Linked DNA regions of Danio rerio. The main gene of each other region encodes a partner of the protein of the gene in region 2 in a complex. Links are inferred from orthologs where the notes say so. Each region holds a gene or a part of one and is shown on either strand. Other genes may lie near its edges.

Region 1 (5,811 bases), on a different chromosome or scaffold from region 2:
GACTTTAGAAATGATAAGGGATCAATGGTATTAGCTAGGGATGTCCAGATCCGATCACTAGATTTCAGACTCGATCGGAATCATACGTTACCTACCGAACAGGACTCGAACACATATATACTGTATATATATATATATAGGAATTATTTTGAACACATCTATAGTTATAGATGTATATAGTATAGATAGAAAAATATAGTATATTTTTTTAACAAATCTATAAGGGGTGGCACAGAGGTAGACCTCTTTCTTCACTACACACAGAAACAGCATCGAGTGCGGCTTGACATCACTTTGTCGCTGAGATGCGATTGGTTAAATGCCGGCAAAGTAGAACACAGAATCAGCTTCAAGTGGTAAGTGTGAGTATGTCTGCAGCCTGGAGGTATTATAAAGTTGATGACAACAACATTGCCATGGCAAACTGTGAGATTTGTACACTTGGGATTGCCTGTCGAGTATATCGCTGCATTTAAGATCTGAAAAAAACAAATGATCGTCACTGCTTGATTGATATACAATATAAAGTGGGTCTCAGACTAAACATGAAGCGCTGCATTAAATTACTTTGTTCAGTTTCATGTCTTAAAAAGATGGAAATATATTTTACCACAGTATCTTTATTGGAGTTTCTGTGCCTGTCTGCTGCTCCAGAAGGCACTTCCATTTTGGGTTTGTTTTAACCCAGGCTCATTCTGAAAACGTAGTCCCGTGGACATTTCTGGAGACCGCGAAATACGTCCGGCGGACTTCAGATGCAGAGAGGAGGAGTTGACCACGGCGACGGGGTTCGAGTCCGGGGAAGAGCGGTTTCCAGAAATCAGGTAAGACAAAAACAGAATCCAAAAAATAAAGTGAACGAGTTCATAACAGGGTGAGAACGTGGTGAAATCCGAAAACGTGGTAAAGAAATCAGACGAGGGCTTTTCTTTTTCTAGACGCTTTTCTAAGTTGTTGCTCGAGTTTAGGAAAGTGAGCGGGCGGGCGGGACAATCAGTAAAACTGGTTGGGTTTAGGGAAGGAGGAAGGTGGGTCAGCCGATTGGCCGGTTGCGCAGTCAATCATTCGGTCAGTCAGACAGTGGCCTCTGGTGGGTTCACCCAATAACAGCGCAGGCGCGAACGGCACTCGCAAGACATTCGAGATACGACAAAGCGCACACAGCGGCGTCTTGCGTATTCGCGAAAACAAAAACTGCAGAAATACGTACCTCTCCGGACGTATTTTGCGGTCTCCAGAAACATCAGCTGGACTACGTTTTCAGAATGAGCCTAGGTTGGTTTGTTTCCATCTTGTTTTAGGGTGCTTTCACACCTAGACTTTTGTTTTGGAACCTGGCCCGTTTCTCCAGTTAGCGCGGTTCGTTTGGCATATGTGAATCCAGCAATCACACTCTGATCCACACCAAAACAATTGGTCCGAGATCGCCTGAAGGAGGTGGACTCGGCTCAAATGAAACGAACTCTGAAGCGGATTGATTGTAATGAGAAAGCTATATGATCCAGTGAACTTACGAACCAGCCTATGTTACAGTGTATTATGGATATGTAATCGGCATATATGGCTATGTGAATAAGACAACCCGGGCTCATTGTGGAAACGTAGCCCCGCGGACGTTTCTGCGGACCGCGATTTACGTCCCGGGAGGTATGTATTCGAGCGGTTTTTGTTTTCGCGAATCCGCGAAAGGCCGCTGTGCATGCTTTTTCGCGTCTCGGGCGCCTCTCGGGAGCGCGCGCCATTTGCGCCCGCACCGTTCTCCCACGAAAAGCCGCCGACTCGGCCGCCCTCCTCTTCCTCCTCCTTCCCTAAACCCGAGCAACGGTTTGCAAAAGCCGTCCAGAAAAAAAAAAAAAAGCAAAAGCCCTCGTCTTTGATTTCGACCAAGTTTTCGGATCCCGCCGCATTCTCGGCCTTATTTTTCGGATTCCATTTTTCGTCTTACCTGATTTCCGGAACCGCTGTTCCCTGGACTCGATCCCGGTCGTCGTCCACCATGGCCGGCTCCTCCTCCTCCTCCAGGGCCTCCGCTCCGCCGACGCAACGCTGTGAGCTAAGCGGACAAACTGGTTGCATCGGGAAAGCCCTCCACTCGGAGGCGAGCCGTCGGCCGGCGAGCGCAAAGAGGAGGGGCGGAGCGGCACCACACCGCCCCGCAGCGTTCGCTTGAAAAAACTAAACGCGCCCTTTACGTACCTCCGGCCACGTAAATCGCGGTCTCCAGAAATGTCCACGGGGCTACGTTTCCAGAATGAGCTTGGGTTGGAATAAGAATTATGAGTAGGGCGAATGTCATTACTATCAGTAAATGTGAGTTTCATGTTACGAAAGTGAAAGCATGCTGAAATATTACAGAGAGCTGTTTATCCGTTATGAAAACTGACTGGTTCTTCGTTTATCAATGGGGTAAGAAAAATATTCCTGGAAGTCAAAAGGAAAAGCGAGATCCTTTTTCTTACTCCATTAGCAGATTATTTTGCTTGTTTAAAGGAAAAACTGACTTAATTTTAGCACATTATTTCTAAAAACAAGACAACATGTTTTGCTTGTCTAGAAAATGCTTCTTGATATAAGAATTTTTAGATATTTGGACTGGAAAAAAAGACAAAAAAAATCAAAGTAAGGAAAGCTTTTTTTGCAGCATAACATCGACATTTTTCTATTTTAATTCAACAGGACCTTTAAGAACACATCAACCTCTGACCGGAAGTGTATCTGTGGTTGAAAAACACTTGCCCATTGTATAATTGCATGTTTACAGAACAAGCCCCAGTGTTTTTCCCATGTGTGTGTCCGTGTTTTGTCCATCATGTCAGTGCGTTTCCCTGTTGATCGCCGGCCGAATCTGTCCCGAGCTCCCTCAGGATCCTGCAGCGTCCCGGAGCCAATCGCATCACATTAAACAGCGACGACCTGAAGGACTTGCAGAGGAAGAAGTAGATGAGCGGATCCAGCACAGAATTGAGAGAGGACAGCCACAGCGTGCTCTCCTTCAGCTTGAAGAAAAACAGCTTCTGCGGGCAGCTGAACAGGAGGGCGCGCGTCTGGCTGATGGTGTAGGGCACTCGCGCGAAGTGGAACGGCACAAAGCAAATGAAAAACACGGCCAACACCAGGAACACATTAACCTGGATGTGTTTCTTCTTGCTTTGCGTCCCACGCGGAGACCTCGTGCGGGCGTACGACTTGTAGAGCTCTCTGGAAATAAGCGTGTAGCATATGATCACGATTATAAGGTTTCCCCAAAAGATGACCTGGCATATATGATTGACCACCTCATGCCACCGCAGTCCGAGCTCAGTTTTGAGATCGCTGCATTTGAAGCGCTCTCCAATATTCGGACGACTGGTTAGGATTACATTTGGGAGCGAAAGAGCCAGGAGAGACGTCCAGATGACTCCCGAAAGCAGTTTTCTGTGCAGTAGACGTTTGGGGTTGGTGCCTACGAACGGCCACATGGTTTTTCTGCAGCGATCGATGCTGATCAAACCGAAGAACAGGATGCTGATGTACATGGTGAGGTAGAAGAGCACGGAGGACACGCGGCACACAAAAATGCGGATGCCCACGGACGCTACATTGGCATCGGATAATATTTTAAAGGGGAATGTGAGGGTCATGATGATGTCGGCCACCACGATGTTCTTCAGGTAGATGATGAAGTGGGATTTGCTGGGGATCCGGAGGAAAACCCAAGCCGCCAGAGCGTTCAGAGATAATCCCAGGATGAGGAGGATGGAGTAGAGGACGGGGAAGACGATGGTTTTCAGAGCGCCGTCTCGAGAACAGGATGAACTGTTGGAGACGCTGCTGTTGGAGAAGCTGAGCTGCGTTGTTTGCTCCATTGATGAGTCCTGCTGGGTGAAGTAATGAAGTCCTGAATGAAAGAATGCATAATGAAATGATGAGTCCTGAGACTGTTTTAGTCAGGTGTGTGAACAGAACCCAGACGCAAATCAGCAATACAAAATAAAGTTTATTAATTAGGAACAAAAAACTGGACACAGAGCCCAGATAACAGCCAAAAGGGCTGAAAAAAACAACAAGCCCATGGTAGGGTAAATAGTCATTTTAAGTAAAACAAAATAAAACCAAAGTGGACAGAAAAACAGACAAGCATCTAACTACATGTAGCATGAGAAACGAATCAGCCCAGACAACAGCAAACTGGGAGAATAAATAGAGGGGCAAACAAAGTCTCAAACGAGGAGCTCAGGTGAAACAAATTAACAAAATGATAATGAGTTAACAAGACAGGCGGGGTCTAATTAATAGACAAATGAGCACATGTGGAAAAGACCAAACACAAGCCATGTGCTGAACACAAAACAAATTACAGACATAAGTACACAGCTCAAGATGACTTGACGCTGTGCGCTTACAACACAGAAAAAAATACATTGTTCAAGCTAACTCAAACCAATGCACTCACAAAGAGAAAACAAACAAGAGTGTAAGAAAGTAAGAATGAAAGTAAGAATGAAATAAACATAAGACAGAACCATGACAGTTTTGAGGGAGTTAAACAATAACAATGCTCCTAACGCATTTCTTGATTTACATTTTTATACGTCAAGGTATGATTGAATTGCCTCTTGTTACAGCTAGAAAATAGTTTAACAACAAGCAGGAAATGTTCATGGGTCAATGGCATCACTGGATTGAAATGGTCTATAATAACGTGCACTGCAAAAAAAATGTGCTTTTTACTTAGGGTTTTGGCTTGTTTCTAGTCCAGATATGTAAACAGCCTTAACCTCTTAAAGCCCAAGGTGTTTTTACATGCATTTTTTATTTCTCTTGGCTATTTGGGTTTATTGGAACCTAATTAGAATAAAAATCTAAGTATTATCTTTTGATATGATGTACTTTTAGAGAAAAATGATGTCCATATATGTGGACTCGTGATCCCAATTTACATAAAACACTTTTTCCTGAATGTTTTTAATGCATATTTAACATTAGACATTTTTTTAAAACTTTTTTTTTGACTATTAGAGAGTAAAAATAACCTTTTTTCCCCATTTTGGACAGTTAAAAATAGGATTCGGGACATTTTGAGCGATGTAAACAGTAACAATGGTCCTAACTTATTTCCTGATTTACATTTTTATTTCCATAGCTTCCGAGAATCCAAAAATGTCCACATATTGATAAATAATGTTATGATAGCTGTTTTAACGTCAAGGTATGATTGAATTGCCTCTTGTTACAGCTAGAAAATAGTTTAACAACAAGCAGGAAATGTTCATGGGTCAATGGCATCACCGCATTGAAATGGTCTATAATAATGTACACTGCAAAAAAATGTGCTTTTTACTTAGGGTTTTGGCTTGTTTCTAGTCCAGATATGTAAAAAGCCTTAACCTCTTGAAGCCCAAGGTGTTTTTACATGCATTTTTTATTTCTCTTTGCTATTTGGGCTTATTGGAACGTAATTAGAATAAAAATCTAAGTATCATCTTTTATGATGATCTTTTATGATGTACTTTTAGAAAAAAATGATGTCCATATATGTGGGACTTGTGGTCCGAATTTACATAAAACACTTTTTCCTGAATGTTTTTAATGCATATTTAACATATATATTATTAAATATCTTTTGACTATCAGAGAGTAAACATTTTTTGTCCATTTTTGGACAGTTATAAACGAGGGTTTGGGACATTTCATATGCTGCAAAACATCTGCAGGATGACACCGTATGTCTGTAACAAAATATAAAACATTCAAAGTATTTTAAATAGACACTTATATTATAATATTTTTGCTGCTTCTTCAAACTACTTATTTAAAATAAGCTGAATCAAC
Region 2 (6,683 bases):
TAATTGTGGTCTTAAGACTGATAAATTCTATACATGTGCATGTCTTCTCATACACACTGACTTAAACAGCTTTGTCTGTCTGTGTGTGTGTTTGGGCCTCTGGCAGCAGTTAATACTGTTTATCTAACCTTGACCTCTGCTGCTTCCCCTACGCCTCTGTTTCCCAAAGCACTTTTACACACTAATCACTCTGATGGAAAAGTGTTTACTACATATCTGAGATGACTTACTATCTCATTACTAAAAGCTTCCACACGCTTTGATCTGGGGCACAATCACAGCACTCATTTTGTAATTTAATTATGTTGTTGAATATTTGTTCTAGAAAATATTTGTACCTATATTAGAGACAGTAGTCTACATTTTCTGAGTGTCTTTGGTTTCTTGGCTTTTTATCAGATTGAAAAAGGTTCCCTCTCACATCCGCAGGAGCCAGAGCTGACAATATTATTATTAAAAAGAAATCTCTATAGATTTGCAGGCAGACAAGATCCACAGGACAATTCACATCAGCACTTCAAATCAATTCAGTGGCTACTTTTCATCCACTGCAAAAGCCTGGAGATATTTTTATTTACAACTGGATACTTCTGGCAGGCTTTGAGCAAATATCTAATGTCAGCTCTTTCTTTGGTGCCAATCTGACTTTGTTCTCAGTTGTATTATTTATTTGTGTTTATATTTGCTTTTCGTAATATTTAGCAATATTGAATGTGATTGACATGATATGTATTTATTTGTGACATGAAAAATTGCTTCCGTTTGTCGTTTGTGCTTGGGAAGATTTTGATTTATTTTTATAGGTCAGGTAATAATTGCTGTATTTATTTTAACAAACAGTAATATAAGCATAATATAAAACTAATAAATAACTAATAAAACTAATAATAAAAAAGGTTTTTTGTTAAATTTGTTAATTCTGCAGCTGCAGAGATGATTTTTCTGCAGCCATTCATTATTCAAAGCCTGAAAATCTTTTAAATATTGTGATTTAGAGCTCATTAAATATTAAATTTTAAAAATAAACTATATTATTTTATATTATATTATATTATAAACTCATTATGTTATATTATAAACTCATATTATATTACATATATTACATATTTCAATGATCATTTTTTAAAAATATAGCAATAAATATACTATTTTAAATACTTTAACTAATTTAAAACAGCAATTTAATATAATTATTTTAAAATAACAACAAAAAATAATTTGAAGGTCATTTATGAAATATTTCTTATCACAACAATGAAGACACTGAAAATATTGTTATAGAAGCAGATTTATTTGGTTTGGTTATTTATTTTTCTCTGAATTCTTGGAAATCTTGATAGTTCAAAATAAGCAATTATTAGGATTTTTGTTATAGTAGGCAGTTCATACAGATATATATTTTTTATATTTTTCAGATTTATATTTTTCTCTCTGAAATCTTGGAGTTATATGAAGTTCAAGATAAAATAAATTAAGTTTTTTAATAAATACATGCAAATTTTTTTGAAATAAGTCAGTAAATCTAATATTGAATACAATATTTTTATGAGTTTAATACCTAAATAAACAACAATTTATTTCAATTATGTAAAAAACATAAAAAATAATTTGAAGCTCATGAAATATTTCTAATCACAACAATGAAAACATTTAAAATATTTTATAGAAATTGATTTATTTAGTTTTTTCTCTCTAAAATCTTGGAAATATAGAAAGTTCAAAATAAAAGTGAATTTTAGTTGCTGTAAAATTCATACAAATGTTTTTTGAAATACAGCAGTAAATATAATAATAAATATATTTTATTACCTAAATAAAAACAGCAATTTATTTCAATTGAAACAAAAAATAATAATAATTTAGAGCACAATAGTTATTTTTAATCACAACAATGAAGACGCTGAAAATGTTTTTATAAAAACAGATTTATTTATAAAAATTTTTTCTGCAAAATATAGAAAATATAGGGATATAGAAATATAGAAAGTAAAAAAAAAGCAATTATTGCTTTTGTTTTTTTGTTATTGTAATAAAGCCATACAAATATTTTTAGAAGTATAGCCATAAATATAATATTTTTAATAACTAAATAAAAACAGCCATTTATATCAATCATAAAAAATAAAACAATAATTTGGTGCTCATTAAATATTTCCAATTACAACAATTAAAACACTAAATATTTTTATTGAAACTTTTTTTTTTTTTTTTCAGAAAGCTTGGAATTATTCAGTAGAAAGTTCAAAATAATAACAACTATTAGGATTTTTTTGTTACTGTAATGAAGTCATAGAAATAGTTGTAGAAATCTAGCAATACATTTAATAAATATAATATTTTAAATAACTAAATAAAAACCACAAATTGTTTCAATAGTAAAAGAAATTAACGCAATTAAATAAATGCCAAATGGACAATCTCACATTAAAACAATTCAAATAAAATTTTAATGCACGCCGCTAAATATTTCATACAACACTGATCAGTTGAACATTTGTGTGTCTATTCTGCAGGATTATCCATGAGGACGGCTACTCAGAGGAAGAGTGCAAGCAGTATCGAGCTGTGGTCTTCAGTAACACCATCCAGTCCATCATGGCCATCGTTAAAGCCATGACCAGCCTCAAGATCGAATATGAGGACAGCGCAAGAGCGGTGAGTACACACTGCATTCCCTCAGCAAATAAATCACACACATCCACTGTACAGTAACACACACACACACACACACACACACTCTCTCAGATTATCTCAGAGGCCCTCCAGAGTCACATGATCCTGCTCTACAGCCAGTTTTTTGACTGTCAGCATGCAGTCTGATTAGTTTTCTTGCTACTGTTGAAAAATGCGTGATAGTAAAAACTCTGTAAAATTAAACTAGTTCAGGGTCATGTTCTCTATAGACACCAAGCAGATGCATTTTCATAGTAAAGAGCTGAATTTGGAAAACCACAGCCTCTTTAAAGCTGAAATTGTGTAATTTTTGAAGTGATGATTAAAAAGTGATGATGTACATTTAAATATAAATTAAATGTGGTGAAGGGGGGTTGGGGGGTGTTGTCGCGAACTCAAGAGCGGGGTGTGGGGGGTGTTGGTTGAGACGAAATGAAGAGCGGGGGGTGGTTGTCGCGAGGGCACTTCAGATCAGTTTGGAAAGGCACTTTCTATCCAACACTAAAAAGGGCATGTGCACCGCACAGGTTGAGCCCTATATGTGCATGTGTGTGTGTGTGTGTGTGTGTGAATGAGAGACAGAGAGAGCAATGCTGTGCGTCGCTTGGTTCTCTCTCTCTTTCTCTCTGTGTGTGCGTGCGTGAGAGCGTCCGGCGCAGAAGAATACAAACAAGACAAACAGGTGACCGCGATCCTAAGGTTGCATATATGGTATTCAGTTTCTGAATGGTTTAGGCACTAGCCAACAGTTTAGTGATGCTGTCTGAGCCTTACGACATATTTTTAATTGTGCACGGTAATACCGGATACCGGGGTAAAATAGGGAGGAGGTTTGACGGTATCAAAATTTGGATACCGCCCAAGCCTACTGTCGACTCATTCACTCCGGACACGCTTATACTTCTAAAAAAAAAAAAAAAAAAACTACACGCAATGGTTCAGAATGGTTTGCTAAAAAAAAGCACAGCATATACCGTTAGCGTATCTGGACACAACCTCAGAGCGCCTGTAAACACATACTTGTAATGGTTGCCCCACCTCTGAGCTCTTCTGATTGGTCCACTGCTATGGAACTGACAGTAATGAGCAACACTGCATGTGAAAGTTGAAGTTCTTTTAACTTCGTGTGGCATCTAAAAAACCCCAGCTCTTCAAGTCCCGAGACACGGCCACACACGTTCATTAAGTTCATCTCTACATTGAAAAAAATAGAAAAGAAGCGCATTGGAGAGCATCATCTTTTAAATTCGAGAAAAATACAAAGTAAAAGTCCTATTAGTAATCCATTGTCTATTCTTCCTGTAAAGGACTACAGATCCCTCATAACGCAGCAAATGTTTTATTCAGCTTTTTATTCTCTCTATGAACTTATCTTCAAGACTTTCATGAGGACAGATGAAGCTTAAAGCAAGGGAAAGAAAGAGAATAAGGAAGTAAGAGTGTTAGTTTGCTAGCGCAGATCTAAAGAGAACAGCCTGAAGGGCAGCAGTATGTTCAGTGCATCTGATCCACCTGATGCTCTGGAGAGATACACTCCATCTCTGTCAGCACTGATTTACACTCGCCATATATTACGTCACACCACAATTTACAGTCAGTGACAATCTATAGGGTTAACGCTGTCTAAATGGAAACAAGTTGGACATAGGAGTCTTGAGAGAGACGTGTTATTAAAAGTCCTAATATCTTTTTAAAAAGCAGCAGAAGACAAGAATATGGCTCTTTTAAAAGGAAACAGAGCCTTTATTTTTGGTGTGTAGCAGCAGTGTATGGTTTAATTAGGCGGGTGATGGGAGAGATGGATGATTGTGTCTCCGCTTAGGGAATTGAGCTGCAAAGTGCTGTTAGAGAGGCTAACAACATCTCTCCATCACATTTAATTAGTGAGAGAGAGATCTGTTGGAGACATTCCTCAAGTGTGTCTCGCTCTTGCTTGCTTTCTCGTTCGTGGCATGTTTGATGAGAGATGTGCTCAACCGATGACTGGGAAGTCAGTGGGTCGTCTGGATAAGTAGTTAACTAGTGCGTGTTGAGGAAATCCTGGGTTATTTAGCTAGTCTAATAGACTGCATACAGTTAGATTTCTGAGCCATTTAACGTGAGTTCAAGGGCTGAATTTGGAAACGCATCAACCTTGTGAAAGCTGAAATTCATTTGTTCATCATTGATGTACATGTTTTCACACAATTTTCATACAATTTTCTCAAATTAGTTGTCCTGAATCAGCTTTATACTTCTTTAATGAATGATTTGCATGCATTGAAAACAATTTATCAAAAAGTTTAAGCCATAATTAGGGTTACTGTTTTATTGTAGGGCTGGGTTAAAAAATATCAGGTGTTGTTTCAAATTACCATGGAGAGGGGTCAATGTAAATGAAAATTTAAGAAATGTTAAATAACCACACTGTAAAACGGAATTATTGTTAATAGTTATTTATAAAAATCAAAACTGTAAAACAGTTAATAATAGTAATAATGATAATAATAATTATTATTATTATTATTAATATTATTATCATTATTTTAATTATATTTATTATTATTATATCTTTATCATCGATGTTGTTATTTTAATAATAATAATTACTATTATATCATCATCATTAGTATAAATATTATTGTTATTATTAATATCATTAATATTATTATTTTAATAATTATTATTTCATCTTCATTATCATTATTATTATTATTATTATTATTATTATATTATGTATAATATTGTAAATAATAATAATCTAATAATTATTAAAGTAATAAATATATTATTACCAACTACATAATAATATTAGCAATAATAAAAATCATCATAATATTTATATAATAACAATAATTTTATATTATTATTATTATTATTATTACAAACTTTCGATTGAAATTTATTTACTGTTTTACTGTCATGATTTTTAAAACTATTTTATAAAATACTTTTTTACAGTACAGTTGTTTAAAATGTCTTTTTCATTTGTTAATATTATTAATATTAACTAATATTATTGATATTATTTAGTATTTCATTTTATATTGTTAATATTGTTATTATTCATAGTAATAATAAAAATATTAATGATGGTGATGTTAGGCTCAATTATGTTCAAATCAATAATATCAGTTAGTCTCAATTAGGCAAAATTAGGCTCAAATCAATAATATAGTTAATTAATAATAATAATAACAATAATAATGATAGTTGATGTTGTTGTTGTTGTTATCACCATCATTATTATTATTATTTTTATTTTTATTATTATTATTATTATTAATATTGATATGTAGCTAAAATTATTGATTTGAGCCTAATTGTGAACACGTACACGCAAGCACAATAAACCTGGAATACATTTTTACAAATTACAAATGCATTTTTTTCTTTTAATCAAAAGAATCATAATTAGATTTTTCCCCATTTGGTGCAGCCATACTATTTGCAGATATCAGTAATGACAGGCAGTTGAGATGTTATCTATAATTGATTTTTTAAAAGAGATAAAAATCGAAATATGTAAATGGTCTTCAAAAATTTCGACCATCCCCATGTTTTATTGGCTCTTTAATTAGAAACACTGTGCGCGCAACGCTGAGCGTAAGACAGGAAGTGGAGCATCAGCAAGCATATCTTTAAACCATATGAGAGTGCATGTGTTAGCCATATGTCACAGTTTGTGCAGTGTGTGCTTTAGACACGTGGAAATCAACATCCCATGGGACTTATCGCTGTAACTCCTTATTTCCCCCCCTCTTTCTTCACTCCTGAGGCCGTAAATCTTTTAAAAGGCCTATAACTATCTTCTATTCATATCTACAGCCTTTTTTCCACCAACTATTAAAAGGACTTAAAGTATTCCTGTCTCACAATATTCCTGTTTCGAAACAGATATTCCTTGAATTTTCAAGTTTATTGAATTTTGAATTGCAAAACACTGAGCTGTTTAACTTTTACGAAGTGTAATCCTACAGCAGTACACTGTTTTTGCCCCATTGATTTCCATTATAACCACATTTTCTGAC

The links. Proteins that work in one complex are often made in the same cells at the same time.
Region 1: the proteins of gnai2a (region 2) and p2ry12 are in contact, whole or in part, in a cryo-EM structure (PDB 7XXI), measured with the Homo sapiens proteins. The link is inferred for Danio rerio from reciprocal best matches to the Homo sapiens genes GNAI2 and P2RY12. Residues at the interface, in NP_002061.1 of Homo sapiens: Arg24, Glu28, Ala31, Arg32, Leu195, Glu319, Ile320, Tyr321, Phe335, Phe337, Asp338, Ala339, Thr341, Asp342, Ile344, Ile345, Lys346, Asn348, Leu349, Lys350, Asp351, Cys352, Gly353, Leu354, Phe355; in NP_073625.1 of Homo sapiens: Phe59, Asp121, Arg122, Lys125, Thr126, Pro129, Phe130, Thr132, Asn134, Pro135, Ile212, Leu216, Ser219, Tyr220, Arg222, Thr223, Arg224, Val234, Lys237, Ile241, Leu301, Cys302, Lys303.

Annotation. Positions count from the first base shown.
Region 1 is NC_133190.1:1,139,278-1,145,088, reverse strand, and holds the end of p2ry12 (P2Y purinoceptor 12), read right to left. Parts: intron 4,536-5,811; exon of another isoform or gene 4,515-4,535; intron 3,925-4,514; exon of another isoform or gene 3,878-3,924; 5' UTR 3,846-3,877; coding exon 2,808-3,845; 3' UTR 2,516-2,807; downstream 1-2,515. UniProt on the Homo sapiens protein: Receptor for ADP and ATP coupled to G-proteins that inhibit the adenylyl cyclase second messenger system. Not activated by UDP and UTP. Required for normal platelet aggregation and blood coagulation.
Region 2 is NC_133186.1:37,324,053-37,330,735, forward strand, and holds part of gnai2a (guanine nucleotide-binding protein G(i) subunit alpha-2a), read left to right. Parts: intron 1-2,513; coding exon 2,514-2,655; intron 2,656-6,683. UniProt on the Homo sapiens protein: Guanine nucleotide-binding proteins (G proteins) are involved as modulators or transducers in various transmembrane signaling systems.